Canis lupus familiaris: one gene and its partners. The protein of the gene in region 5 interacts with the protein of the main gene of each other region in a biochemical or structural test. Links are inferred from orthologs where the notes say so. Each region holds a gene or a part of one and is shown on either strand. Other genes may lie near its edges. The genes, in order: FNBP4, NCK1, YES1, LYN, KHDRBS1, RASA1 and FGR.

Region 1 (4,145 bases), on a different chromosome or scaffold from region 5:
ATAATGAACAAGCATGAATTAGTCTATCACTGATAAGGGACATTCCATCATTGATAAGGAACAGAATGATAAAGTCATAACTATTATGTAAAGTTGTTTAACTAAAAATAAATAAATGAATAAAAGACTTACAGGACCTATCCCAGACTACTATTGAAATGTTGTTACTACTTAAAACCAGAGGAAGCAAGGACATTCTTCAGAGCCATAGTCCTTAGCTGCTGCTGATGTTTTGTTTTTTTTTTTTTTTTTTTGAGGAGTGTTGACTGCACAAACCTCAATAAGCACAACCTGCAAATCAACTAACTACATAGATAGAAAATAATTTCTTAGGTGTATACCTTTCTTGATAAGCTTCAAACAGTAACTGTCATATTTCTAGCAACTGTTAACATTTGAACAGTGGTTTTATTTCTTCTGGTAACAGAAACTATTAACATTCAATAGGATAAAAGTATCATAGTAGTCTATTGATCTAATTTCAGAGCTTACTCTGAAATTTTTCTTGGAGAGTTTCACATGCTATTACCATAATATTCTTCTTCATGAAAGCATTAGATACTCTTGCTCTACTATATTATAAAAGCATATTTTAACAATTTTTTAAAAGCAGCAAATGGAAGAGTAGAACGAGCATCTATTTTTTCAGGTGTCCTATAGCACAGAGAGAACTCCAAACTGAAAAGAATCAATTATCAGGGGCAGCCTGGGTGGCTCAGCGGTTTAGTGCCGCCTTCAGCTCAGGTCGTGATCCTGGAGTCCCAGGGTCGAGTCCCACATCAGGCTCCCTGCATTGGAGACTGCTTCTCCCTCTGCCTGTGTCTCTGCCTCTTTCTCTGTCTCTCATGAATAAATAAATAAAATATTAAAAAAAAAGAATGAATTATCAGTTATAAGATATTTAGTATCAAACATATTTTGATCTATAAAGAAATGCACATGGGCAGCCCCGGTGGCGCAGCGGTTTAGCGCCGCCTGCAGCCCGGGGTGTGATCCTGGAGACCCGGGATGGAGTCCCACATCAGGCTCCCTGCATGGTGCCTGCTTCTCCCTCTGCCTGTGTCTCTGCCTCTCTCTCTAGCTGTGTCTCTATGAATAAATAAATATAATCTTTAAAAAATAATAAATAAATAAATAAATAAATAAATAAATAAATAAATAAATAAATAAATAAATAAATATTTAAAAATGCACAGAATGAAAGATATCCATGGAACACCAAGATAGTGGGGAGCCAGAAAACCACCAAATAGCATTAGAAGAGAAGTAGCACGAAGTATTTTGGGTACAGGGAAAAAAGCAACAAATTTTACGTTGGTTAAAGTGTATATACCAGCAAGCCCTCAGACAAAAAAAAAAAAAAAAAAAAGCTATTTTTATTCTCGGAAATTTTACATTTCCATTTTATGGGAGAATGTGTAATTTAACCACACTGAAGCGTTCAATGAAATACTTTTTATAAAAGCCCAATTTGATCCTTATGAGAGACTTTGGAGAAAAGATGGGAGGAAAAAACAAAACTGTACCTGTTGCTTTCACGGCTGTAGGTCTGGTGGTCATGACTGGTTTAGGAGGATTCTGAACTCTGGGAACCTCCACCACCACTTCCTGTTCATCTGGATTTTTAAAAAGGAACAAAAGAAAACTAATCTGCCGGTGGACTAGAGAAAACAAGATAACAACATAATCTTCGATTTGACCTTTCAAGTCTAAATTTCACCAATTTGAAAACAGGGTGCGTAAATCCATCACTGACCCAAATAGTGGGGGAGATGATAAAGAAGCGGAGAGCTAGACTCTTCCACGTGACTAGTGGCTTTAACATTAAGAACAGGACTACGATACATCAAAGTACATCTGAAGTAATTCGAATTTTTAAAAATACACACGCACAGAATACATCTCCGGGCTCCGATCGGGCCTTTACAACACCACAGGGATAGCGCCGGAAACGGTCGCCGACTTCTCGGGCATCTGGCCCTCGAAGGAGCACTGAACAGCTGCTCTTAATCCAAATACGGTTCCGGGGAGAAACAAACAAGTACTTCGGAACCCTCCAGTTCTACTTCTCCCGGAATTTGAGGGGTACCTGCCAATTCGGAGCTACGTTCGCCTTGGCCGGCATTAATAAAATGAGTTTGCTCCCTCCCGAACTCATCCTTCTTCACGAAGGGGAAAGCGCAGGACGTGTGGAAAAGGCCAGGCTCCCGGTCACCGGGCCTCGGATGCAAAGCTCGTCCTCTCACCACCACCCCCTAAGTCACGCAGACCCTAGCGTGCACGCTGAGGAGACTCGGGAAGCCAGGCCCGGCCCTGCGCCAGAGATGGCGCCGCCGGCCCCTTCCGCCGCCCTGAGGCCCCCAGCCGTCCTCCCCTCGGGCCCCACGCAGCAGGCCGCGGTGCGGAGGCAGCCCGCGCGCCCGGGTTTCTCTTCGTGCCAGGGCCCTGCCGTAGGCCGCAAGTCCCGAGCTCGAGTTTTGGACGCCCCACCTGAGTGTCGGGGCCCCTTGCGCACCTTTACCTTCTGAAGGCGAGTCTTCTGGGGCCGCGGCGGCCGTAGTCACCGTGGCCGTCGTCGTTGTGGCCGGTGGTGCCGCCGAAGCTGGCTGGCTCGGCGCCGCCGCCGCCGTCGAGTCCGGTTCCGTGTCGGGTTCCGGCTCCGGATCCCTGCCCGGCGTGCTGCTCCGGGGGCCCGGCGGAGAGAGCTGCAGGATGGGCCTGCGGCCGGGTACCGCCCGGGACTTCTTCCCCATCGCGAGCCCGAGCGCGAGCCGCGAGCGTCGGCCAGCCGAGAGGGGCGGGCGCTCCGCGCGGCGCTGCGTAATCAATATTCATGCACCGCGACACCGCCTCCTGAGAGAATCCGCTTTTAACCGGCGGAGCGCGCGCCCGCGCAAGCGCCTTGGGCTCTTTACGCTAGTCTGGCTCCGCCCCCCGAGAGGGGAAGGGCGGGCTTTACCCACGCTGCTAGACGATTGGCTATTTTGATCTATTGAAGGAACCAGAAGCCAATGGAAAAGGGAAAAGAGTGAGCGTCAAGCCAATAGCGCGGAAGGGCCTGCGTTAGAATGACTTTCCATTACGTCGGACTCCACCCATGCGTCTTCTGCGGAGTCTTTTTCTTTATCCTCTTGTCCTCCATCTTGCCCTTCTTCTCTGCTGGCTGTTCGTTGTTTTTTGATTTGTTTTGTTTTTGTCCATCGGGAAGCTTTGCTGCTTTTCGGGCCCTTCCCGCAGTTTTGTCCTGATTATTGTGGCTTACTTTGGGTTTGACGTTGAACACTAAATAAAATAGTGGGTCTTTTATGCTTTTGTGAGTTTTTTTTCTTAGAGCACACATTTGATGTTTGAGGTTTACGTTCCTTGAGCCCTCGCCCCTCCTTGTCTCCTTCCCTACCCCGGAGCCGGCCAGTCGATCGCGACCTACCGTGCGGCATCACATGGCAAAACTGCGTTCCTCAAGACCTGGGGCAGGCGTTATGGCAACCTTGCATCTCGGTGCTGAGCTCCTCCCCAGGGCTCACGTCCTACCCCTGTATCCGTTTCCCTCTTCCTTAGCCTAAGAAATTGGGTGGTATTTATTTTTATATCCCCAGCAGCTCAGGTCTTACTGGAGCACACCAATACTATCTAACATTTACTGGGCACTTATTATGTGTGAGGCACTAAGCACTTTCACAAGTACGATTGTATTTTATTCTCCCCACAACCTTGTACGGTAGGTAATCATGATCCATAATGTATAGATGATCCCCCGGGACGTGTGTGTGGGCTTTTTGTTTTGTTTTGTCTTAAGATTTTATGTTTAAAGGCAGCCCCGATGGCTCAGTGGTTTAGCACCTGTCTTTGGCTCAGGGTGTGATCCTGAGGACCTGGGGATCGAGTCCCACGTCGGACTCCCGGCATGGAACCTCCCTCTGCCTGTGTCTCTGCTGTGTGTGTGTGTGTGTGTGTGTGTGTGTGTGTGTGTGTCTCATGAATAAATAAATAAAATGTATAAAAAAATTAAAAAGATTTTATGTTTAAGTCATATCTACACCTAAGTGCAGCTCAAACTTACAACCCCGAGATCAAGAAAGCGTATAACCCAGATGATGTTGATGACGTTTTGGAATGTGTGTGAGGTTTGGTGGGGTGAGGCCTGA
Region 2 (4,228 bases), on a different chromosome or scaffold from region 5:
TGCCTGCCTCACCTCCTGGATGCTGTTCAAGCTTTGTTTTGTTGAACAATCAGATACCCAAGTCTTTTGCCTTGTGGAAGATGAGTATATGCAGTGCTTGTTATATGCAGGTGCAGGTCATGTGGCCTATCTGGGAACTCTCTAGTTATTATAAATCTAATTATGTCAGAGAATGTGCAATCTACTTCCAGTCTTCTCCATTCCTAGCTGCTTTCTTAAAATCCTTAACATAAGTTCAGTGGGGTTTGCTATAAATATAGCTCATGTGATACATGATTAATGCATCAATTACATTGTGATTACAAAGTATTAATTGCTTCTTTTTTTTTTTTAAGAAATATCTTTTTAAAAAGAAGACTGGGGGGAAAAACAAAAAATGGAGAAAAAGAAAGCATCATCAGCTGTTTAAAATCAAATAAAAAGGTGTTTACTACCTAATCATATTTATAACACTTTGAAACTATTTTCTTCAACTTATATTCAAGTGATTTTACAGCAAAAACAGGTAAGCACATGACTTTTATTTCTATTACAATTGTCTACTAATAATCATCTCAATAAACAAAGAGAGACTGACAAAGATAATGAAATATGAACTAAAAGGCTTTAAAAGTAGATGTGGTGAAAATAAAAAATTGTACATCAATGCTTTAATTGTATTTGCTGACTCCTATTGCTTAGTGGGAGAAGCCAGGGCTGCCACCCAGTGGCAATGTAAGTCTTCAAATGATTTTAAGAGTTAAAGAATAAAAATTACTTAAAATAATTAAAAAAAATAATCCAAAAACCTCAGGAATTAGACAATTTCAATTTTAACATCAGTAATTTTGGTGTATTAAATACTTATCTATAACACATTAAAGAATAGAAACATTCATTTGCTTAGGCCGCACTGGGGAAATTTTTAAAAATACCATAAGATTTCCTAATACTGAAAGTAATTTTGCTTAAATTTAAATTCCAGAACAAATTATGTCGGAGAGGATAGCTAAGACCACAAAATACAGCTGTTTTCTTCTGTGACCTGCAGAAGTAGATTCAATACTCTATAGTAGCCTCTCATTCATACACCCAAGCTTCTGTTTAGTAAACAAAAACAATAGAAACTCTCCAAAAGTAAGATTTCAAAAATAACCTTCTCTAACCATTTGGCACATCCCATCTTTTCCTCAGGTATGATCAATTTTAGTGTCTCAGTCAACAAAACTCAAAGCTGAAAGGAGGAAAAGAAAATAGCAGAAATACTATACCTAATACTGATAGACATGTTTGGGGAGGGGAGACAAGTATCTCACTGCCTCCTACTTCCCCAACATTTGGCTGCAGCTTTTTTCACACTGACACAGATACAACATGCCCCAATACAAGATGCTTTGTCAAAATAACACTAGGGGAAAAAAAAAAACATAACACTAGGGCATCCATTTATAGTTTAAAAAGCTAAATATCTCAGAGACTGCTTTATTCTCTTAAATAACCAGGTAAGAAGCAACCCCACAAAAAAGTCCTAGAAGTTTAGATTTTTGTTTCCAACAGTTGCAAATTAAAAGTGTACAAGATACGTTTTCAAACCTATGTCCCATTTGTTTTGCTTTACAATGAAGACAATGAATATTTTTTAAAAATGGCAGACACAACATACTTGATATTTACAATGGCTTGCAACAAATACCTGAAAATAATTTCTAATTATCCATTTATTATTGCTATTTAGTCACAGAAAAGAACATTGTCCAAGAAATTTATTTTAGCATATGCCATATACTGATATAATAATTTTATATGAAGAGAAACCATTGCAGAAGTGACCTAAATATGGTGCCCTTACAAGGAAATAAAGAAAAAAACCAATAAATTCTTCCATGTAAAGACTTTCGATCTGCATCATCTTTAGAAAATATAAAACCTTAATATTAGAAGCAAAGAGAAAAACAGACAAGAAACAATAAAACAGAAGACCAAGGATAAGGAACTGCTTTATGCAGATGCTTTGCATATGTAGTATATATGTATGGGCTGAGTTATAATAAAAATACTTATGTATCACACTCAATTCTCATGTAGAGTCAGAAATCAATTTCCAATCAAATATGATTGGATTGACATTTTCTCAGTCTTCAATTACATGATGAGTTATAGCTTTATAGCAGTCACTTCTGGTCAGCATTATCATGACAAATGCTTGATAAGATACAGTTTTTCTCCTTGTTCACTTGTAAAAATTGGTGCCTTTTTGTAATGTTCTACAAGTTCTTCCATGGTGCTGAATTTACGCTGCCCAATGCAGTAGACAGTCTCTTTTAGTTGGACTTTAAAATGCTTGTTTTTCCCTTGTGCTTTTAGTGATACAGAGAAATCATTTGGCTAAAAGAGAAAAAAATACATAGGGTAAACATTTTGAAAGATATCTATTAGCATTTTTATATTACACTAATAATAATAAAGTGCTCAAATCTTAGCTAAGTACTAGGCACTATGCTATTTACATAGATTATCTCCTTTACACCTCTAACCAACCCTTTTTAGAGATGACAAAATCAAGGCCAAGAAAAGCTAAGTTGCTCAAAATCATCCATGTAGTTAACAAGACAGCCAGGATGCAAACCCAAGCAGCCAGACTCCAAAGTCTCTTAAATAATATGCTCTAACACCCATGGCAAATCCTTTAGTTTAACATCTGAAGCACAAGAGCTATCTTCTCTCCTTCAGACAACTGGAGAAACACATGAGAAAACATGAGTTAATGTGAGCTAACAGTAGCTATCTCATAGACTAGCTCAGATATTCGGCTGAATTCTTAAAGACAATAGACACTAATGAGAGGTCATAAACTCAAATGCCTACAAGGGTCAAAAGACATATAAACAAATGACAGGGTGGACAGAGAGAAGGAACAGTGCATGGCCAATTTAAAGAAAGTGGCCACTTAGTGGTGATTGTTGTCTTGTAGAAATACAGGCAAGGTTGGCAGGCCTTCCAATTTTATTTTTATTTATTTATTTAAAAAAAAGATTTATTTATTCATTCATTCATTCATTCATTCAGGGGGAGGGAGGGAGGGGGGGGGAGAGAGATAGTAGAGACACAGGCAGAGGGAGAAGCAGGCTCCATGCAGGAAGCCTGACACGGGACTGGATCCCGGGTCTCCAGGATCACACCCCGTGCTGCAGGCGGCGCTAAACCGCTGCACCCCGGGGCTGCCCAGGTCTTCCAATTTTAAAAGGAAGTCTGTCACCTGACTTTTTATAGTAAATTTCCCAATATTTAAATACTGGTAACAAATTCAAATGTTTAAAAAACATTGTTCATGTCAAACAAAATATCCTGTTTGAAATCTTTACTTTAAAAATTCTAGGGATGCTTGGGTGGCTCAGTGGTTGAGCATCCCTTCAGCTCAGGGCCTGATCCTGGGGTCTCAGGACTGAGTCCTGCATTGGGCTCCCCGCAGGGAGCCTGTTTCTCCTTCTGCCAATGTCTGCCATTCTCTGTTTCTCATGAATAAATAAAATCTTAAAAAAAAAAATCCTACTGCTAAAAATGATGGTGCATGTTGGCTAATATCCATGCTCAATTACCCACCAAGAAAACAGTGTTTTGTAACCAAGCTACTTTCTTACTTTTTGTTGTTTTTTTTAACCTAAACACTTTTCTGAACAGTCTAAAAGTTTTATATAGTTACTGACAAAGTTTCAAATAGTGGGCTTCTTGGAAACATCCTATACCTATGGTTACTCTTATCACCTGCTCTAAGGTCACTCATTTCCTAATGCTTCTTGCTCACTGCTTGTCCTAGAAAGATAGATCAAGTCAGGCATCTAACAGAAAACAAATCCCACCACTGTTCCCTATCATTGATCCTGCTCTTCCTGAGGGGTTATGTACAGGCCTCATTTCCTGAACTTCATATCAAGCAGTTCAATTACCTCTCTTTTCTTCCCTCCCTTTTATAAACATATACACGCTATACGCAAGTGCACATACACACACCAGATAAGTTTTCTTCTGACTTTAAATCTTTTCTACAATCACACATTCACATTTATAGAACTACATACACAGAAACAAAGCCAATACTAATGATCTGAAAACTGGAAAAGTAGTGGTATCCTTTTAAAAGGAAAAATAAAGACCAGTTAAATGAATAGGACCAAATTCTAATATTCTAAACAGTAATCAAAAGAGCCTACATAACTATTATTCCATTTTTATGGTTTCATAGTTTTACTAA
Region 3 (4,267 bases), on a different chromosome or scaffold from region 5:
CCATGCAGGGAGTCCGACGCGGGACTCGATCCCGGGTCCCTGGGATCACACCCCGGGCTGAAGGTGGCGCTAAACTGCTGGGCCACCCGGGCTGCCCATCTTATTTTCTATTAAAAACAAACAAACAAAAAAAAGCGGACTATAAACCTGCATGAAAATGTTTAATCCCCAATACAGTTAAGGGGAAGTGAAATTCTAGTAGCTAAATCAAATTAAAGCACCATGCCACACTATGGGTACCTTTTTGGCAACGGGAACGCCTAGGCTCCCCTTTGCTTCATTTTAGTGAGCTGAAGAAGAAAAAAATCCAAACCTTTATATTCATTTCCTAAGTTCCTAGAATGCCAGAATTCTGACACATACGATTGTATTATTTATTTGTCAAAGAGGACTCCGAATCTCACTGAAAACCGCAAAGGAAACCAACAGACCCACACGAATGGTCCCGACAGCCCCACCGAGGAGGAAGTGCAGGGGGGAGTCAGGCTTCGGGTCGCACAGCGCGGCAGTGGCTTCGGCAGAAGAGCCTGCGGGCTCGGTCTGTTCCTTCCGGACCCTCTCCCTGTCCTCCAGCCTCCGGCCGCCGAGCACACGGGAAAGGTGCCCGGATTCCCCGAGCCGAGTTCTCGCCGGGGCTGCCGCACTTTCGGGGGCGCAGCCGTCCGGCAGGGTATGCACACCTGTCCCCCCGGGGGAGGCTGCCGGGGCATCAGCCGAGGCCACCGCTCCCCGGAGCTCGCCAGGAGAACCCGGCTCCGGTTCCCCTCCCGGCAAGGCTGGCTCGACCAACAGTCAACAGGAAGCTCCCGCGCTGGGACAGGATCCCCGGCTCGGAAGGAGGCCAGACGCGAGCGTCTCTGGACGGCGACCAGGCCGGCGAAGAGCGCCTAGTGACGCGCCCCCGGGCTCACGCGGCGGGGCTGAGGTCTCCCCACCAGCGACGAGGGGTGCGGAAGCCTCGTCCCAGAAGGCACGCACTCAAGCCCGTCCTCCCCACGCACACAAAGCCCGAAGCCCTCGGCACGACGGCGCGGGGCAAAGGGAACCCAGAAAGAGGGGGCGGGAGCCTCCCTCACTCCACCTCCCGGGGCCGGTAGTCCGCGGCCGCAGCGGCCGCGCTCCGCCTCCTCACGCCCCCTCAGCCCGCGCCGCCTCGGGAATCCGCCCCGGACCCCGCCGCCATGTTGGGTCCGGATAAGTGACCCGGACTCGCGGCCGACCGGGACGGCGTGCGGGGGGGGGGGGAGGGGGACGGCCCGCGGCCCACAGCCGCCGAGCGCGCCGGCGCCGGAAGGCGGGGGGCGCGGCGTGAGTTCCGGTGAGCGGGCCGGCCGCGCGCGCAGGTAGCCGCCCCCCCGCCCCCGCCCCCGCCCCCGCCCCCGCCCCCGCCCCGCCCCCGCCGCGGAGGGGCGGAGCCGGGAGTGAGGGCGGGCGCCGCGCGGAGTGGAGGTGGAGAGTGAGGCCGAAGGGTGGGGGAGCCCGGGAATTCCCTCCTCCTGAAGCGGCGAGTGCGGGGCGGCTGTGCCGTCGTCGCTGCGGCCGGGCGCTCGGGACGAGGAGGTGGAGGAGGGAGAGGGCCCCGCGGGCCTCGCCTCCGCCCACCGCCCCCTCCTCGCCGCCCCGGGCCGCGGTAGCGGCGACTCATGAGAGCGCGGCTGGAGGGCAGGTAAGGACCCGGCTGGGCCCCCCCGGGCGGAGGCGGCCGACCCCGGCCCGGGCAGCGCTAGGCCCCGGCGCCCGCCCGCCCGCGCGCCCCCGCGCCCGCGCCCCGAGGCGCCGGCGCTCCCCGCCCCGGCAGGCTCGGAGTCGGGAAGTTGGGGAGAAAGTTCTCCCCTCCCCCGTCCCGGCCGGCCCGGCGGGCGTGTCTCCTTCCCGGCGCTACCTGCTCGCCCCCCTGACTCGGTCTCCGCCCCGTCCCGTCGTTCCCGGGCCCGCCCAGGTCCGACCGCAGGTCCTGGGAGCGGTGCGCTACCTCCCGGCGGTGCCCGGGGGCGAGGTCGCTGGTGGCTCCCGCGGCCGCCGGCGGGGCCGGGAGCCGCAGCCCGGTTCTGTCCCGGAGCCGGAGGGTCCCCGTGGTAAGACGCCGGGTGGCAACTGTGCTGGGAGAGCGGACGTGGGCGTGTGTGGGGGCGAGGGGGGGAGCCTCTCGCTTTGCTTGGTTTGATTGAAAACCGCAACATGTTTAAAGTTTTCCTTTGTTTTGGGTTGGGGGTTGGGAAGGATGCCATTCAGCGTCCGCTCTTACAGTGTTCTGCCGCTCCACCTCCCATTGGGTTCGCTTCTCTGTCCACATGGTGCAGGAAATTTTGGTTTAAAGTGTGTTTTCCTTCTTGGTAATCGCTTCCAGCTTTTGCTTCATTGGGCATGGGGTTAGCGTCGTTTTCGGAAGCCCTTTGGAAACCAAGTCCGGTGTAGGGATGGATGGCTTTGATTTTTGCCTTCTGATGAGTGGCAAATAAGTCCAGGGCAGGGACTGCTTTAATTTTTGTTTTGTGGTGGGTGGGACACAGCATAGTTCGGATTTGGTTGAATTACTTTCTGCGTGATTAGTTGAAACAGGCGTGGAATAACCCACGGTCTAGCAATCTATAAATCGTTAAGGAAACGAGACGTCTCTAGTGGAATCGCAACTTGATGTTCATGCCATTAGGTACGTGTGTTTCATGGTGTGCTTTCACATACATGATTTGACATGTACATGCATAAGATTGTGGTATACGTGTGTCTTCATAACTCTAGGATTGCGGTGCCAACGGTATCTCGATAATTCTGAGTATTTGTGAAACATCCTGGTAAATGTCTAAAGTTACGGACTAAGGAAGATACTACTAAATGGGTACATGTGACTGTGTACTTAAAGCATAGTACCTGGTGAATCTAATAACTAGGGCAGTGGCTCACGGTGGACAGAAAACATTTTGAATGGGCAGGTAACGAAGGAGTGTCATGTAGGAGAACGAGGATTTTGTGTGCGTCACACGTATATATATATATATTTCGTACATTCTGTAAGAAAGTTTTATTTCACTTCAGTCATACATCTGCTTTGTTTTACTGATATGTGAGACCACTGTCATCGTTGACATTTAAGAAAAGGAAGTCTAATTATTGTAAATTTTGGACATTACCCAAACCTCAGTGGCGATTTTGAATGCTGGTTGACCAATTCATAGGGTCTTAAGATTGAAAAATAAAACGAAACACTTGCCTTTGATTCGAATCTAAATACAAGACCATTCGTATCCATGTTTCCAGAATAAAAGAAAAAAAAGCTTTTAAAATATGTACTCTCGTATAACCACCATAACGTTATAATAGCTTTTAATTTTGCAGTATGTTTTTGCTGACTTCATAAACCACAAAATTGACTCCTTTCTAGTCTACTGAAAGCGAAATTATGACTTTGACCCGTCTTCCTGCGATAGGTGGAATTTGTCTTATGACTGAAGTATAATATTAATATATGGGTGGAGTTTTCTTTTTTTTTAATTCAGGAAAATCTCAAGCTAAAAAAAATCAATGTCCATGCAAATAGATCTCCTTCATGATATGTAATGTTGAAAGAATAAATGTTACAGGCTAATAGCAACAATGCAGTATTAAGTGAAATATTACCAACCTGTGGTATAAGGTTTATTTATACAAAGTCCAAATTTGCATCTTTTTAGGCAGTAAATTTGTTAACGTGAGTAATTTTTCTTTATAAACGTGTTTAACTCGATGTAGTGTTCAGTGTAGTTGTCATTTATCCTTTTAGCATTATATTAAAAAGAGGTACAAACTTAGTTACAAAATAGGTCAGAAGAATGTAAGGTACAGCATAGGGAATATAGTCAATATTCTTGTAATAACTTTGTATGGTGACAGGTGGTAATTAGACTTAGGAGGGAATTGTTTCATAATATAGAAAATATCAAATCACTATGATGTACAGTTGAAGCTCGTAGGATGTTGTATGTCATTTGTACTTCAATTTTAAAAAGCACCTAATATCAAAAAGCACTACTAAGCTCTGGTATCTGGGAATACAAACTTGGGAAATAAAAGTATAATTAAAAAAAAAAAACCTGCAAGGAAGTGATTTCTGTACAAGTAAAGATATGGGAGGTGGGAGGAAGTTGTGATTGGGACCCAGATTCTGTAGTGGTTACAAAGTTTTAACCTGCTGGTGGTTCCAATGGTTTTTTTTTTTTTTTTTTTTTTTTTTAAGAAGACTGTGTAATGTACTATATAAGGTGCTTGGGTAAAGAACTTAACATTTAGTGAC
Region 4 (3,500 bases), on a different chromosome or scaffold from region 5:
CGGAGTGAGGAGCAGAAGTAAACAGTTCCTGCAGCTGCCCCCTACAATCGACTTTAACCCCACAGGGAATGAACATAAAGACTACCCATGGGTTTGGCTTCACAGGGCTGAAACCCGTGGCACTGGAGACAGAGGACCATTGAATTGCCACTTGTAAATATTTTCTTCTTGTTATTTCTGTCTTCTTTTACCCAGACATATACACATATATATACAAAGACACAGAGCTGCAAATCTGCATTCTGATGCCAAATATTTAAAGATGTGTTATAAAAATATGCACTACGTGAAAAGAATATTCATCTTCCACTTCACAGTGTTAGAACATTAACTGTCAAACAGCATAGATGAGGTGGGAAGAGCTGGGATAATTATTCACTAAGATCAAATCTGACTGTAGATGCATAGTTAATTATAGATTAACTTAGAATCAATTTCAGAATATGATCCTCCAACTTCATCCAAAAGAAGTATGAGGTAGAAGAATTTTAATCTAAAAAAGTGCTTGACCCCCTCCGGTTCACAAAAAATCTGTTTTGTCTTGGCCAACCTTCAATTTTCACTTACTTTGGTAATGTTTAATCATGTCGCTGATACAAGGAAAAGTGATTCGTGGAGAGATGTAATATCCCCCATTGTCCAGACTTCTAATTTTGTAGTGCTTAATAACATCACCATGCACAGGGTCATAATCTCTGACGGAAAGAGAGTAGCTTCCTGTGGGGGGAAAAACACAAGTAAAGATTATGCTTGTATTTTACAAGTAAGATCTGCTTTACCCAACACTGTAGTCCACATTTTTGGCCATAAAATATGCAAAATGTAAATCAAGTATGTATGTAGTGCATAATTTTAAGTCCTGTAAAAAGTCTACCTGACACATGAAGCTACCATGTTGTTGCTCTGTAGCTTACCAACATGTCACATTCCTTCTTCAGGCTAGATTTATTATTATTATTATTTTGCTGAATTGGAAAGTTATTTTGATTTTCTTCCTCTTAAAAATTTCAAGATTTACTCTTAATCATAGTGTAGGAGGCTCAGCAAACATAAAGCTTGGTAGGAAATGGCCGTAATTAGGTCTGCTTTCTATGTCACTTTTAGTAGCAAAACTAATCATTTGAGTTTATTGTTATCAAACTATAACACTTTCACTACCAGCACATCTCTCTTTTTTTTTTTTTTTTTTAAGATTTTATTTATCTATTCATGAGAGACACAGAGAGAGAGGCAGACACACTGGCAGAGGGAGAAGCAGCCCCATGTGGTCTCCATCCCGTGACCCCGGGATCATGCCCTGAGCCGAAAGCAGACACTCAACCACTGAGTCACCCAAGGCGTCCCTTTTTTTTTTTTTTAAATAAGAAATCTATGCTAAATTTCTAAGAATGATTTCCTAAGTAGTGATTTATAAGAGGACTTAAAACACTTCCTACCTTTTAATGTTTCGCTTTCTCTGATAAGAAAAGCTCCAGCACTGTTCCCTGGCGCCAGAAGCTGCCGTTCTGCATCTTTCCTGGTTATATCCTTGAAAAACCACCTGAGAAGACATTTTCACATTTCATAGATGTTATGCTCCAGGGAAGGAAAAAGATAAGGAATGCAAAAGAAAGCCAGTGCAGCAAACAAAACCATCAAAGATGGCAACTGTAAGGACTCACTCTTCTGTTTCCAACGTGTTCACTTTGGCTACATAGTTGCTGGGGATGAACCCTTCTCTCTTTGTTGAAAGAGATTTAGCTTTCCACCATTCTCCAAGTCTGGAATAGAAAGAGACATCAAAAAGTTTTTGTATGCAGGGGCATCTGGCTGGTTCTGTGGGTAGAGCATGTGACTCTTGATCTCGGGCTTGTGGGTTTGAGCCTTATGTTGAGTGTAGGTAGGGGTTACTCTAAAAAAAAATGAAATCTTTAAAAAAATAAATGTTTGGATCTAAAGAGTCAAGAGCTGCAATAGCAGTTGTTTTAAGGTGTCTGTTTTTAGGGGGTGAGGGAGGGTGGGAAGATCCCTGGAACCCCAGAATCCAGTGGGAAAATTCACTCCTTTTGCTGAAATAAAAATATGTGTAGAGACTCAGGCAAAGGAAAACAGCCTCACAACTGGGTCACTGTGCTCAGTGCTGCACACACAAGAGTTGGTGAAAATGGTTCCTATCTTGCAGAAGCAACATGTTTGTAATCTCTCCCAGGATGTCTAAGAAATGCCGTAGGATCCTTACAGAAATAGGAGTCAAGAGAACAGTGAACCACAGCTCTGACGTTATAAACACCTTTGTTAAAACATCCCATTTCCATAGGGAGATGCTTGGTGATAAGAAATAGAAACCATAAAGCAATTCCAAGCAGGTAGGCTCATCCCCACGTTTTTGTCCTCAGCATGGAGTCAAGGAGGAGGCCAGGGCCAGGGAAGGAGACAGGAGTGGAGGGGTCCTCATGAGCCTCAACTATGATCCTCAAATTCCCCCACACAGTCAGGTTCCTGGACTGTCAGACTTGAAGGACAACCACAACTGACACCAGGCTGTGGCCTACTGGATGCCTATACTATTTGCATACACACATGCACACAACATTCTCATATGAACCCCGGCGACAGAGGTACTGCCGTTTCCATTTCATAAGTGAAGAAACTCAGGTATAGAGTTGAAGTGACTCGTCAAGATCACACAGCTCTCAAGAGGCAGGGCCAGGATTAGGTCCAGGTTCACATTCAGCCAGTAAGCGATAACTGTTCTTAACCACTTAGCACCTTGTACTTACTAAGGGGGCTCCCTCCTCCAATCCTGGTTGGCAGGCCAAGATGACAATGTGCGCAAGACTAGGGGGAAATCCATATTCTCAGTACTGAGATCCTGTGGTCTGAGCCACAGGTCTGTGAGTCAGGACAAGAGGGCGGGAAGATCCCTTTGGCCATATTCCTTATACTTCCAAAGCCCTGCTAGCAGCAAGGAGGCAGCGAGGCTGGTTATTGCTGGGCTACTGGAAGCAAATCGAAGGGGACAGGACTCAGTGGCTAGAGAAAAGGGACAGCAGGCACAGTGTGCATAGGTGTACTTACTCCTCCAGGACTTTCATTTTCTCTCCTTTCTTGAAAGACAAGTCATCTGGATGGATGCCATCATAGGGGTACAAGGCTACCACGATGTCTCCTTGCTCCTCTGGATCTAAAGATGAAGGAGGAAAGGGAAAATTTTCAAGAATCCATCAATGGTAACATTTTAACAAGTCTTTATCAGGCACATAATGAATAATGAGTGTGTTTCCTGCCTAGTGGGGGCTCAGAGCCCACATGGTCTGCAGTAAGTAACATATTACACACACTGGATACAGTATATGTTATCTCCAATCATACAGACCCTACCACTATACTTAATTCCAGCTCTATATCTAAGAAATGATACAGCCATGTTCAGAGCAGGATTATTTGCAATAGCTAAAAAGAGATAACACGGGTACCTGGGTGGCTCAGTTGGTTAAGCGTCTGCCTTTGGCTCCGGTCAT
Region 5 (3,500 bases):
CCTTTGATGCTTTCAGCCAGTCTCTATCTGAAATTAGCACATTCATCTGAACTATTTGGTCTTATGTTGTTTTTGCTTTATGCAGACTTGGATATTTGCATTTAGTTACCAGAACAAAAACTGAATTGTGTTTGTCTTATTCAGAAATTGAGAAGATTCAGAAAGGAGATTCAAAAAAGGACGATGAGGAGAATTACTTGGATTTATTTTCTCATAAGAACATGAAGCTGAAGGAGCGGGTACTGATACCTGTCAAGCAGTATCCCAAGGTAAGGCCAGACGTGCCTCACTTGGTTGTCTTTGTAGGTGTGAGAGCCACGGGCTATAATAAAGACTTCTGGAAATTGTGATGCATTAGGTCCTTGAGCCTGTGAAGCTTCTCTTCCATACTTGTAGTACTTGTTTTTGGTAGTTGAAACATCTGAGTCTGTAAGTAGCCGTATACCTATATCTAGGAAGGAAATATCAACTTTTTATTACCAAAAAGAGTTTCTTTCTCAAACATTCAGGCTCCAAGTTCAAAGAAAAAAACTGAAGAGTTGCTCTCTGTCAAAAGATTGATGTGGGGAAAAAAAAAGATTGATAAAATCTCAATACAGGGAATATAGCACAAATCTTTGACTAGATGAAGTTAATTTTATTTCTTAATCAGTGTTTTACTTTCAAATAAATACTTTCTTGTTTTTCTCCTCCTCCTCCTTTTTTCCTTTTTTTAAAGAAAAGAAATTAGTTATATTTAGTTTACCAAACAAGTACTATAAAAGAATGCCATATGTCTGTTCTGTAGTCACTGCCTTAAAAATATTTGTTTGTTGAAGCAGTAAGGGTTGCAGTGTGATAATTTGGAAAGAGCACTAGACTACATCTGGAAACCCAAGTTCAAGTCTAGGAACTGCTGCTTTCTATATGTATAATCTTAGACTATTCATTTTTTTCAGTGTATCCTCAGCATATCCTTTTCAGTAAAATAGGAATGGTAATATGCACCCTATTTTGCAGGGTTGTAGATCAAATGAGACAGTAATACATGTGGAAGTGTTTTATAGGAACATACGTATTTAGAAATCTATTTTTCTTTTCTGTCAGTTCAATTTTGTGGGGAAGATCCTTGGACCACAAGGAAATACAATCAAAAGACTGCAAGAAGAGACAGGTGCAAAGATCTCTGTGCTGGGCAAGGGCTCAATGAGAGACAAAGCCAAGGTAAGCTCACATCAGTGAGGCAAAAAGACAATGCCTCCTGGAAGCCAGTACTTATAAAAATACAGAATGTGAATCCCTTAAATTTGTGTTGGGTGTAAGAGATTACAGACCTAGTTAATTTACTTGTTTGGCAACGCTGGAAGAGGCTAGGTGTGCCCTAGTGGTTTTTTTTTTTTTTCCTGACTTTTGACTGCCTCGTAATAGAAGCAGCAGTAACAACTTTCACATTTGTAAGCTTGTCTCTGAAAACTTGGAAGGGAAGCTGTATATGCTAAAACTTATCCAGACTAAAGACACTAAAATGTGAACAGCACATTCCCTTTCCAGTAACATTGAAAAATGAGAGCAGTAATGTTGTGAGTACAGGTGAATCTGAGGATTAGTTGTCTGGGTTTTTTTAGAGCCAGTTGGAATGTAAAGAACACTAAAAGAAAGTATTTCAAAAGGAACCATAGTAATCCTGACAACAGAACCTAATGCTAATTTTTTTTCCCATGTCGTAGCCCATGAGCTTTGTATTCTTTATAAGCACTCAAAAAAAAAAAAAAAGAAAGAAAGAAAGAAAATTCTACCAAAACAGAATAGTCTTAGCATTCTAGGGTCAGCTTTTTAGATGAGATATATCAGGTACAGTCTAAGAACTTAGTCATTCAGGGCTCCTTTTATGCAGCCTAAACTGATGAACATTGTTTTCTTTTATCCACTCACATTTCTCACTAGATGAATACACTTAGGGCTGAAGTATGTTATTCTAGCTAATGAGATTTTCTTCACTCTATCCTGACTTCTTTCCTCCCCTAGAACATCCCAGACAATAAAAAGAACTGGTACTGGGACATCTGGCTGACTTAGTCACTAGAATATGTGACTCTTGATCTCAGGGTCCTCAGTTCAAGCCCCACAATGAGGGTAGAGATTACTTAATGAATAAAAAAAGTTTAGGGGCACCTGGGTGATTGATTCGGTTAAGCATCTGACTCGGTTTCAGCTCATGTCATAATCTCAGGGTTGTGAGATCGAGCCCTGCTTTGGGCTCCTCACTGGGCATGGAGCCTGTTTAAGATTCCCTCTCCGTCTCCCTCTGTCCCCCCACCCCCAAAATAAATAGTATTTTTTTTTTTTAGTGTAAAAAAAAAATGAAGAGCCTGTGCTCAACAGCTCTACCTAGGATTGATTGATTGATTGATTGATTTAAAAGATTTTATTTATTCATGAGAGACAGAGAGAGAGGCAGAAACATAGGCAGAGAAGCAGGCTCCATGCAGAGAACCCAGTGTGGGACTCGATTCTGGGACTCCAGGATCATGCCCTGGGCTGAAGGCAGACACTCAACCGCTGAGCCACCCAGGCATCCCTCTACGTGGAATTTAAAAACAAATGCTTGGCAATGAATGAATGCATGCATGCTTGGCAAACAGCTTATATCTGAATGAAGACTGGAATTAAGTTTCTCTCTTCTACACCTAGTAAGAGCTGCAGTGAATATACCATGGACTCAATACAGTGGTTAACTTTTAGTAGCAGACCAAATTACAGGTTTAGCAGGTTGTGTGAATTACTATCCTCTAGACTTTGTTTGCTTTTGTCTTACACTTTGCTATTTTTCTTAGATATTTAATTTCTTTCTCTTTGAGCTGGAAATAACTATCATTTTCTCCCATTCTATGTGATGTGATGTTTTTCTGCATTTTTCCATAGGAGGAAGAGCTGCGCAAAGGTGGAGACCCCAAATATGCCCACTTGAATATGGATCTGCATGTGTTTATTGAAGTCTTTGGACCCCCATGTGAGGCTTACGCTCTTATGGCCCATGCTATGGAGGAAGTCAAGAAGTTTCTAGTACCAGTAAGGAAATCCACATCCTATATCTTTGAGCAAAAGAGAACTGGGATCTTGTACTGTTGCTAATAAGGCAGGGGTTCTTAATCATGATCTCTGCATAACCTGAAATTGCATACCAAATTCTGTATTTATGTTCATTTTTCTGAGGTAGTGTGTTACTTATACCTAGTTCTCAAAGCACTGTGCCCCAAAGCTACTCTACCCCTCCTTGTCTAATGTGGTTTTGGTTATATACCAGGATCTATTGTTAGTATCTTGGGTCTGCAGTGTGTCTGGCGTTTTAACATCTGATTAACAAAGATTTAACAGTCTTCACTGAATTAAGTGTGTTGGTACTAGTGTGGAACCAGGAGGTTATGATAAGAAGAAGGCTAAGATAGTCGTAAACTCCTTGTACTCAGGGGTTAATGTTCTAGACTTTGGAGAGTGTAGAAGATAACAGCAAGAGGCTTCTA
Region 6 (4,047 bases), on a different chromosome or scaffold from region 5:
GCGGTTTAGCGCCTGCCTTCGGCCCAGGGCGTGACCCCGGGGTCCTGGGATCGAGTCCTGCATCGGGCTCCCTGCGTGGAGCCTGCTGCTCCCTCTGCCTGTGTGTCTCTGTCTCTCATGAGTGAACAAATAAAACCTTAAAAATAAAATAAAATAAAACACGGAATAGTCATATAGTGATTTCTAGTATGCGACGAAAATCAAACAAATCGATAGCCCTGCCACTCCCCCTCGGCCCCGGGCCCCGGCAGCGCCGCTTCCTAAAGGCGTTATTTTCCACCAGCAGGAAGCAGGGCCCCGGCTCCGCGGCATCTTCCTTGCCGTCTTCCTCGGCGCTGCCCCCTCCCCTGCAGCGTCCCCGCCGCGTTCGCGGAGCCGGGCCCCCCAGCCCTCGGCCCGCCCCTCCGCGGCGCACGCTGACCCGGGGCGGGGCGGGGCGGGGACGGGGCGGGCGCCCCCCCGCGGCCGGTCCCCCGCACCGCGCGCCCCCGCCGCTTCCTTCCCTCGGGCCCAGCAGCGCGGCCGCCCCCGCGCCAGGGCCGCGCCTGCGCACAAGCCGCCCCGGCCCTGCTCCCCGCCCTTCCTCCCGCGGCCGGCTCCTCCTCCGGCGCCCCGCCTTCCTTTCTCTCTCTCTCTCTCTCTCTCCCTCTCTCTCTAGTCGGTTTCCGCGAGCGCTCCAGGTCGGCAGCCGCTCGGCCCGCTTCCCCGCCCCCCGCCCCTTCCTCTCCTCTCCTCTCCTCTCCTCTCCTCTCCTCTCCCCACCCCTCCCGCCTCCAGCCCCGCGGAGGATGCAGCGGCCGCCGCGGCCCGGGCCCCAGCAGCGGCACCGGCGGTGGCTGCGGTGGGGGTGGCCGGAACTGGGGTGGTGAAGCGGCGGCGGCGGCCGAGCGGGCGGCAGCCGCGCCAGCCGCTTCCTCTGTGCTTCCCTTCCTCTCTGGCGCGGCCAGGAAGTTTCTCACTAGTGTGCATGTGTGTGAGTGTGGGTGTGCAGGCTGAAGGTGCGGGTTGGCGTTGGTGCCGGCGGTAGGTTTTTTGCCCACTCGGCTTCCCGTAACCCGGGCCGCTCCGGAGCCTGGGCTGTGGCCCGAGGAGGGGGCGCGGCGGCGGGCTCGGTCCTTTTGTTGTCGTTTCCTCCGCCCGGGGAGCCGCCAGGGGGACGCGCCCGGGTGGGGCGGCTGGGAGCCCGGGCCTGCTGGCCCCCGGGGCTCCCGGGCGAGCGTAGAGCGGAGAGCGGAGCGGGCTTCAACATGATGGCGGCCGAGGGCGGCAGCGAGGAGGGCGGCCCGGGGGCGGCGGGGGCGGCGGGGGGCGGCGCGGCCGCGGGCTCGAGCGCCTGCCCGGCGGCGTGCAGGGTGAGGATGCCCGGCGCGCTGCCCGTGCCAGCCGTCGCCTGCTCCGGGCTGCCGGAGGCCGGCGGGGCCGCGCTGGGCGCCGGGCCGGGGGCGGGAGCCGTGGGGGGAGCCGGACTGTCAGGGGGAGGGGCCGGGGCCGGGGCCGCCGGGGCCGGGGGAGAGCCGGCCCTCGCCAAGGGCACCGCTTCGCTGGCTGCGGACACCTTCGGGGCGGGCGGCGCCTTCCCCCCGCTGCCGCCGCCGCCTCAGCTGCCCGCCCTGGGCGCCGCCGGCCTGGGAACCGTGGACGAAGGGGACTCCCTGGATGGACCCGAATACGAGGAGGAAGAGGTGGCCATCCCCCTGACCGCGCCTCCGACTAACCAGTAAGTGCACGCAGCCGTCCCGGGCCCGGGGACGCCGGCTCCTGGGCACAAGTGCGAACCCCTGGGACCTGCAGCTTTTCTTGCAGTTGCGATCCGTTGGTGAAAAAGTTTGGAGCCTTCGGGGTTGGCGTGCGTCGGGACTTGATTGGATCGCTCCTCTTCCCTGAGGGCGTGCACGCTGCCTTCGGCGTCTTTTGCATCTTTCTGGTTAGACCCTGGGAAGAAGTGAAGTTTTTGAGCTAGGAAAGCATGGAGAGTGGGGGGGGAGGGGGGGGAGGGGGGGCATGTGTATCCATCGGGAACCGGATACGGTGCTGCCTTTTCCAAGCCGAGGTTGCGTCCCCGGGGCTCAGCTGAGCTTGCAGCTGCCCGGGCCGTAGAGTCTCTCTCAGCCTGTGCGTGCATTCCCTGTTGAAGTCAGGTTATCCTTAGTCATAAGGCTTTGGGTATGCAAGTATTCCAAGGAGTATGGTATTGATGACCATTTTAAACATGCACCGGTCAGAAGGCTTTGCCTTTGTGGTGCTGTGCATCCCCAGCCTTTCGGAGGCAGAGCGATGCAGAAAAGTCTTCGGGTCTCTCCTGAAGATGTGGGTCGGCGAGAAAGGAAAGGAGTTCTGCGAATTACAGGTGTGGTGAAGGGTCTCTCTCCTCTTACGGGGTCTGTGACGTAGGCCGTGAAATTCCCATTTATTGATAACAGCCTGATCTTTTTATAGTTGAGGCTTTGTAAGCACAGTTCTCAAGTAAAATTGTCAATACTTCAATACTTTGTTGGTGGCCAGTGCAGTGTTCCATTTGGCAATCAGTTGCGACGGTATATTGCAGGGCATTTAGGGCAAATGGCTTTTTTCACACGGTGAGTACCTTCCCCTTGTTCCCTCCATAAGTGAACATAGGTGTGTGTTTGTAAAGGTGGACCTTGATGAGAGGAGAGTGTTACTGGGAAGGGGTAATAGATGGCAAAACCGTTCTTACGGATCCTTCACATCAGTTATTATCTGACCTTTAGAATTTCGACAGCCTTGGTGTATCAGAGGAAAAAATATTTGGTTCATATGATGACATTCACTCTGGACAATTGAAAGTATTTGTTTGTTTTGGATAAGCTTTGGAGGATTTAGAAAGGACTTAGAAAATGATTAGAAAAAGATTCTGTGATAATCCATTCTTAACCTAGGGCTACATCTTTTGATATTTAAGGGGGAAAGGTAAAAGTAGCCTGATTTGTGTCAGCCGTGGTATACTGCTCAGTAAGAGTTTAATTTTTTTGTCTAACTTTATTCCAACTTACCATGTTATGTGTTTGTTTTATAGACCTCTGAAGGTGTTCTGGGAGTGTGAAAAATTTGAATTTTACAGCACTGTTTACACACCTTCAAGCCTTTTTGAAAGAATCAGTAAATATTTAAGCGCTCACTACATCACTCCATGCTCAGCACTAGGGTTATAATAAAGTGCAACTTTTCATACTGAAAGAAGGCAGTCTTTTGCCAGTGTTTGTAACTGAGTTATATTAGGCATATTTGTATATTGTAGTTATAAATTTTTTTAAAAAAGTGATTTTGTGGAATGGTTTTAGGTTCACAGCAAAACTGGGCAGAAAATATAGTGTTCCCATTAGATTTTTCAGGATAAACATGAAGGAGTATTTGGAAAAATTTTTAGAAGTCTATTGTGTGAGGTTTCCATCATCATTAATATATATTTGGGAATAAAAATAATACTTGCATGACTGTATATATGAGAATCGTAAATGTTCTGAAAAGTATCCTCCATTTCAAGTATGTTTTTTAAATTTGTCACTGAGGAGTACAAATTACCCTCTTTTCTTTATCTTAGATATCAAACCAGAGTCACTGGAGGCAATACAGTGTAGTGTTTAAGGGTGCAAATTCTGAAGTTAGACAAGATTTGGGTTGGAATCCTGACTCTACCACTTATAACTGTGTGATCTTGGAAAGGTCAGTTTCCCCATCTGTAGAATGGGGATAATAATGGTACCTCCGTCATAGCATCGTTTTTAAGATTTAATGAGAACCCTGAAGTATTCAGTCAGCACAGTGCTTGGCACATAGTAAGTGTTCAGTAAATAGTATGCCAAAGTAACAGTAATATTTTATTGCCATTAAATTGCCTACTGATTCTATTGGTACAGGGAACTCCCTCACTGATAGTTACTTTAGGCAATGGTTCGTACTCCAGAGGTCTAGCTACCATGGTTAGCTATATTAAGAATTATGACTTCATAAAGGTTTCCATCAGGTTAAGTAGGTTTAGAGATGAAGTTCAGATCTTTTCTATGAATTCCTTTTTTTAATTTTTTTTTA
Region 7 (3,500 bases), about 3.6 Mb from region 5:
CCCCCAGAGACACCTCTCTGAACACCCCCGGACTCCGCCTCCTGACCCCGCCCCTCACCGTGGCACATGAACTCGGTCACGATGTAGATGGGCTCCTCCGACACCACGGCGTACAGCTGCACCAGCTTGTCGTGCCGCAGCAGCTTCATGATCTGCGCCTCCGCCAGGAAGGCCTTCGGGGACATGGTTCCCGGCTTCAGCGTCTTCACCGCCACCTTCGTGCTGCCGTTCCACATGCCTGCCAGGTGGTCGTGGTTCGTCAGCACCGGCTCCCGGTTGTCCCAAGCCCGCGCCCCGCCCCCGGGACCTCCGTACCCAGCCACACGTCCCCGAAGCAGCCGGTGCCCAGCCGGCGCTCGAGCGCGATGGAGCTGCGGCTAATCTCCCAAGCATCCTTGGCCAGGCCCATTGTCTGCGGCTTCATGGTGGTGCAGGCCACCGAGAGCAGGTGGCAGAGCCCGTCGTTCACCTCTGGCGGGGGTGGGGGGTGGGGGGCTGTTGCAGGTAGTGGGCAGGCCAGGACGCCCCACCCATTCCTCATCCTGTCCCAGGCGCAGCCCTTCCCCTGCTCCCCTCCCCCATCAGTGGAAAGGAACTAGGCCACAGGGGAGGTCACACGCCGGGGCCAAAGGCAACCTGACCCACTGAGTAGGTGAACATGTTGGTGCCCAGGGAAGGAAGGATGATCCCCTGCAGGGTTTGGAGTCCTCTCCATAGGAGGTGGCCTCCAGCTGGGCCTTCAGGGTTAAGGTGGGATTCTGACAGGTAGAAATGAGTTGGGGATTCGAGACAGTGGTGTGGACATGAGGCCCTCGCCCTTCCCTGCACCTCACCTTTGGTATAACTAAAGCAGAAACCTGGGCATTGATTCCCAGCTTCCTCTCAACCCTACAGCCCATCCTCCAAGTCAGGTCTATTTGGCTTCCTGCCCAGCTAGACATTAGGGGGCGCCCTTCTGACGTGGACAGTCTCACACCTGTTCCCTCTGGAATCCTACAGAGCAGGATCCTGGGCTGGGAACCCAAACCCTTGGTTTCCAGTTTTGCTCCAGCCACTACTGCTTTGGGAACCCCTTTCCTTCTCTGGCCCTAATTCTTAGTGGGTTAGTTCAGGGACCCAAAGCACACACCAGCCCTGGAAGCCAGCCCTCACCCATGTAATGCTGTACCAGCTCCTGCACCGAGTGGAACTGGGCCCGTGTGGTGATGTAGTAGCCGCCCGTGTCCAGTTTGCGAATTTTGTAATGCTTCACATGGTCGCCTCTGGTCTGGTCCCAATCCCGGATGGACAGGGAGTAGGCACCTGTGGGCAAGGGTTGTTTTCGAGTCTGCTTTCCTCCTCGCTCATCATTTTGGAGCCTGAGACACCCAAATGCCTGGGGACTCAGAACTTGGATGGCCACATCCCTTGAACTCGGTCCTAGTCAAATCTCTGAACCTCCACCCCTGTCCCATCTGCCCACTCCCCCATGACCCAAGCCCCTCACCACTGTTCCTAGCCCCACCCTAACAGCTGAGCTTCCCATTTGCCCCTTCCCAGGCCCCCACCTTTGGTAGTCTCACTCTCACGAATAAGAAAGGCCCCCCGGGGGTTCCCAGGGGAGAGCAGCTGCCTCTCAGCATCCTTCCTCCCGATCTTTCCAAAGTACCACCTGTTGGGAAGGGCCAGCAAGAGTCAGATACACCCAGATACACCCAGTTCAACCCACAACTCAGCCTCCTGGGGAAAAACCACCTCACTAGCCAAGATTCAATTTCCTCACTCTTGAAATGGGGCTCATACACCTGCTTCACAGCCCGGCCCGTGAGGTGCACAGAGACCAGGAATGTGGAATGCTTGGCTTGTGGTAGCCACCCAGTAAAGGTTAGACTTCTCTCCACTCTCTGGGTTTCCCTTCAACTAAAATCACTAGGACCCCAGTCACTAGTGACCTCATCAGGGTGCTACCAGTTTCTGAATGCATCTCACTACCACTCCTCCAAGGGCTCATTTTGCAGATGTGGAACTTGAGGCTCAGAGAGGAGAAGTGACCTTCCCTCAGGACTGGTTGATGAGGTCTACGTGAAATGCTTTACTTCCCAGCCTAGTTCTTTTCCCACCACCTAGGCAATCTTCTCCCCATCCATCCCTACCCCCAAATCCTTTCCTCCTATGACTTCCAAACAACAGCCTTTCCTGCTTCTCTTCCCCTCTTCATGACTGCTCCTGCCTGGCTCTGACTGCTGGTTTTCCTCCACTCTCTTTAACTTGGATATTCTTATAAAGCTAGATTTCAACCTCAGATGTCAGGCATTCCTTCTTTGTCTTGGATATTTTTCCTAAGACTGAACTGTAGCCTTAAATCAACTGTGAAAATACACTGGGAGAACCAGAGTGGCCCCACAAGTGCCATAGAAGACTCAGATGTCCTTTGATTACAAAATTGGCCAATCTGGGGCGCCTGGCTGCCTTCAGCTCAGGTCATGATCTGGAAGGTCCTCAGCTTGAACCCTGTGTCACTTCCTGCTCAGTGAGGAGTCTGTTTCTCCCTCTCTCACTCTGCTTCTCACCACTAGCTACCCGACCCCCTCCTCACTAGCTCTTATGTGTGTGTGTGTGTGTGCATGCATGTGTGTGCATGTGTGCACTCTCTCTCTCTCAAATAACTAAATAAAATATTTAAAATAAATAAATAAATAAACCAGTTTACACCTGGGTACTGGGCATAATTTGGGGGACAGGAAGGTACTGGCAAGTAGAGTGTCCAGGTGGGCAGGCAGGATGGGGAAAGAGGAACTGTAGAAGGCCTATGTAGACAGGACACATTCGCAAGTTTTTTCAAAGCCGTGCCCCCACCCATACCCATGGGAGTAGTTACCTCCTTAATAATTAATTTAATAATAACAGTACTTATTTTATGTCATGCTCTGCTTTATTTTTTTTTTTCATGCTCTGCTTTAAAACACCTTATATTCATTTAGTTCTTATAACAACGTTGTGAGGTAGGTCCTATTATTAACCTCCATTAGACAGATGAGGAAATTGAGATACCTAGTGGTTAAGCAACTTGCCCAAGGCCACACGCTCTTAAGCTGTGTTGGCCAGAATAGGAACACCAGTTGTCGCTCAATGGCCTGCAGTCTTAACCACAACGCTGCTCTTAACCATGGCACTGCAATGAGTGTCTCTCAGAGCTTCGTGACACTGCTTCTAAGATGCGGACACAAGCATGAACCTCCCACACCTCCCACCTTCTGCATCATCACCCTTCTCTTTTCCATGACTCCTACCACTTTCTCTGGATGAAGGCCTCACCTCCTCTGAGCTCAGGACCCCAACCACTTCCCTTCGCTCAGGGACACCTCTCCCCTACAAACCAGCCCCCACCTGCAGCCTCTCCATCCCACCAACCTCTACATATGCCCACATTTCTTCCTTCCCCCCAAAAAAACTGTTCTAAGCCCTAACTTGCCATCAACATTCTGTTATATCTCTCACCTTCTCTTCACTTGAAAAAGCAC

The links.
Region 1: the proteins of KHDRBS1 (region 5) and FNBP4 form a complex in vitro, tested with the Homo sapiens proteins (2 studies listed by BioGRID and IntAct, with this or other methods). The link is inferred for Canis lupus familiaris from reciprocal best matches to the Homo sapiens genes KHDRBS1 and FNBP4.
Region 2: the proteins of KHDRBS1 (region 5) and NCK1 form a complex in vitro, tested with the Homo sapiens proteins (3 studies listed by BioGRID, with this or other methods). The link is inferred for Canis lupus familiaris from reciprocal best matches to the Homo sapiens genes KHDRBS1 and NCK1.
Region 3: of the proteins of KHDRBS1 (region 5) and YES1, one has a biochemical effect on the other in vitro, tested with the Homo sapiens proteins (2 studies listed by BioGRID, with this or other methods). The link is inferred for Canis lupus familiaris from reciprocal best matches to the Homo sapiens genes KHDRBS1 and YES1.
Region 4: the proteins of KHDRBS1 (region 5) and LYN form a complex in vitro, tested with the Homo sapiens proteins (3 studies listed by BioGRID and IntAct, with this or other methods). The link is inferred for Canis lupus familiaris from reciprocal best matches to the Homo sapiens genes KHDRBS1 and LYN.
Region 6: the proteins of KHDRBS1 (region 5) and RASA1 form a complex in vitro, tested with the Homo sapiens proteins (2 studies listed by BioGRID). The link is inferred for Canis lupus familiaris from reciprocal best matches to the Homo sapiens genes KHDRBS1 and RASA1.
Region 7: of the proteins of KHDRBS1 (region 5) and FGR, one has a biochemical effect on the other in vitro, tested with the Homo sapiens proteins (2 studies listed by BioGRID, with this or other methods). The link is inferred for Canis lupus familiaris from reciprocal best matches to the Homo sapiens genes KHDRBS1 and FGR.

What each region holds. Positions count from the first base shown.
Region 1 is NC_049239.1:42,338,908-42,343,052, reverse strand, and holds the start of FNBP4 (formin-binding protein 4), read right to left. Parts: upstream 2,801-4,145; 5' UTR 2,754-2,800; coding exon 2,516-2,753; intron 1,617-2,515; coding exon 1,527-1,616; intron 1-1,526.
Region 2 is NC_049244.1:33,892,866-33,897,093, reverse strand, and holds the end of NCK1 (cytoplasmic protein NCK1), read right to left. Parts: intron 2,365-4,228; coding exon 2,170-2,364; 3' UTR 501-2,169; downstream 1-500. UniProt on the Homo sapiens protein: Adapter protein which associates with tyrosine-phosphorylated growth factor receptors, such as KDR and PDGFRB, or their cellular substrates. Maintains low levels of EIF2S1 phosphorylation by promoting its dephosphorylation by PP1.
Region 3 is NC_049228.1:67,651,986-67,656,252, reverse strand, and holds the start of YES1 (tyrosine-protein kinase Yes), read left to right. Parts: upstream 1-1,467; 5' UTR 1,468-1,666; intron 1,667-4,267. UniProt on the Homo sapiens protein: Non-receptor protein tyrosine kinase that is involved in the regulation of cell growth and survival, apoptosis, cell-cell adhesion, cytoskeleton remodeling, and differentiation.
Region 4 is NC_049250.1:7,889,951-7,893,450, reverse strand, and holds part of LYN (tyrosine-protein kinase Lyn), read right to left. Parts: intron 3,164-3,500; coding exon 3,058-3,163; intron 1,761-3,057; coding exon 1,662-1,760; intron 1,541-1,661; coding exon 1,437-1,540; intron 718-1,436; coding exon 568-717; intron 1-567. UniProt on the Homo sapiens protein: Non-receptor tyrosine-protein kinase that transmits signals from cell surface receptors and plays an important role in the regulation of innate and adaptive immune responses, hematopoiesis, responses to growth factors and cytokines, integrin signaling, but also responses to DNA damage and genotoxic agents.
Region 5 is NC_049223.1:68,529,417-68,532,916, reverse strand, and holds part of KHDRBS1 (KH domain-containing, RNA-binding, signal transduction-associated protein 1), read left to right. Parts: intron 1-144; coding exon 145-269; exon of another isoform or gene 270-451; intron 452-1,086; coding exon 1,087-1,203; intron 1,204-2,901; coding exon 2,902-3,048; intron 3,049-3,500. UniProt on the Homo sapiens protein: Recruited and tyrosine phosphorylated by several receptor systems, for example the T-cell, leptin and insulin receptors. Once phosphorylated, functions as an adapter protein in signal transduction cascades by binding to SH2 and SH3 domain-containing proteins.
Region 6 is NC_049224.1:21,307,750-21,311,796, reverse strand, and holds the start of RASA1 (ras GTPase-activating protein 1), read left to right. Parts: upstream 1-1,247; coding exon 1,248-1,717; intron 1,718-4,047. UniProt on the Homo sapiens protein: Inhibitory regulator of the Ras-cyclic AMP pathway. Stimulates the GTPase of normal but not oncogenic Ras p21; this stimulation may be further increased in the presence of NCK1.
Region 7 is NC_049223.1:72,080,235-72,083,734, reverse strand, and holds part of FGR (tyrosine-protein kinase Fgr), read right to left. Parts: intron 1,652-3,500; coding exon 1,548-1,651; intron 1,303-1,547; coding exon 1,153-1,302; intron 472-1,152; coding exon 316-471; intron 239-315; coding exon 59-238; intron 1-58. UniProt on the Homo sapiens protein: Non-receptor tyrosine-protein kinase that transmits signals from cell surface receptors devoid of kinase activity and contributes to the regulation of immune responses, including neutrophil, monocyte, macrophage and mast cell functions, cytoskeleton remodeling in response to extracellular stimuli, phagocytosis, cell adhesion and migration.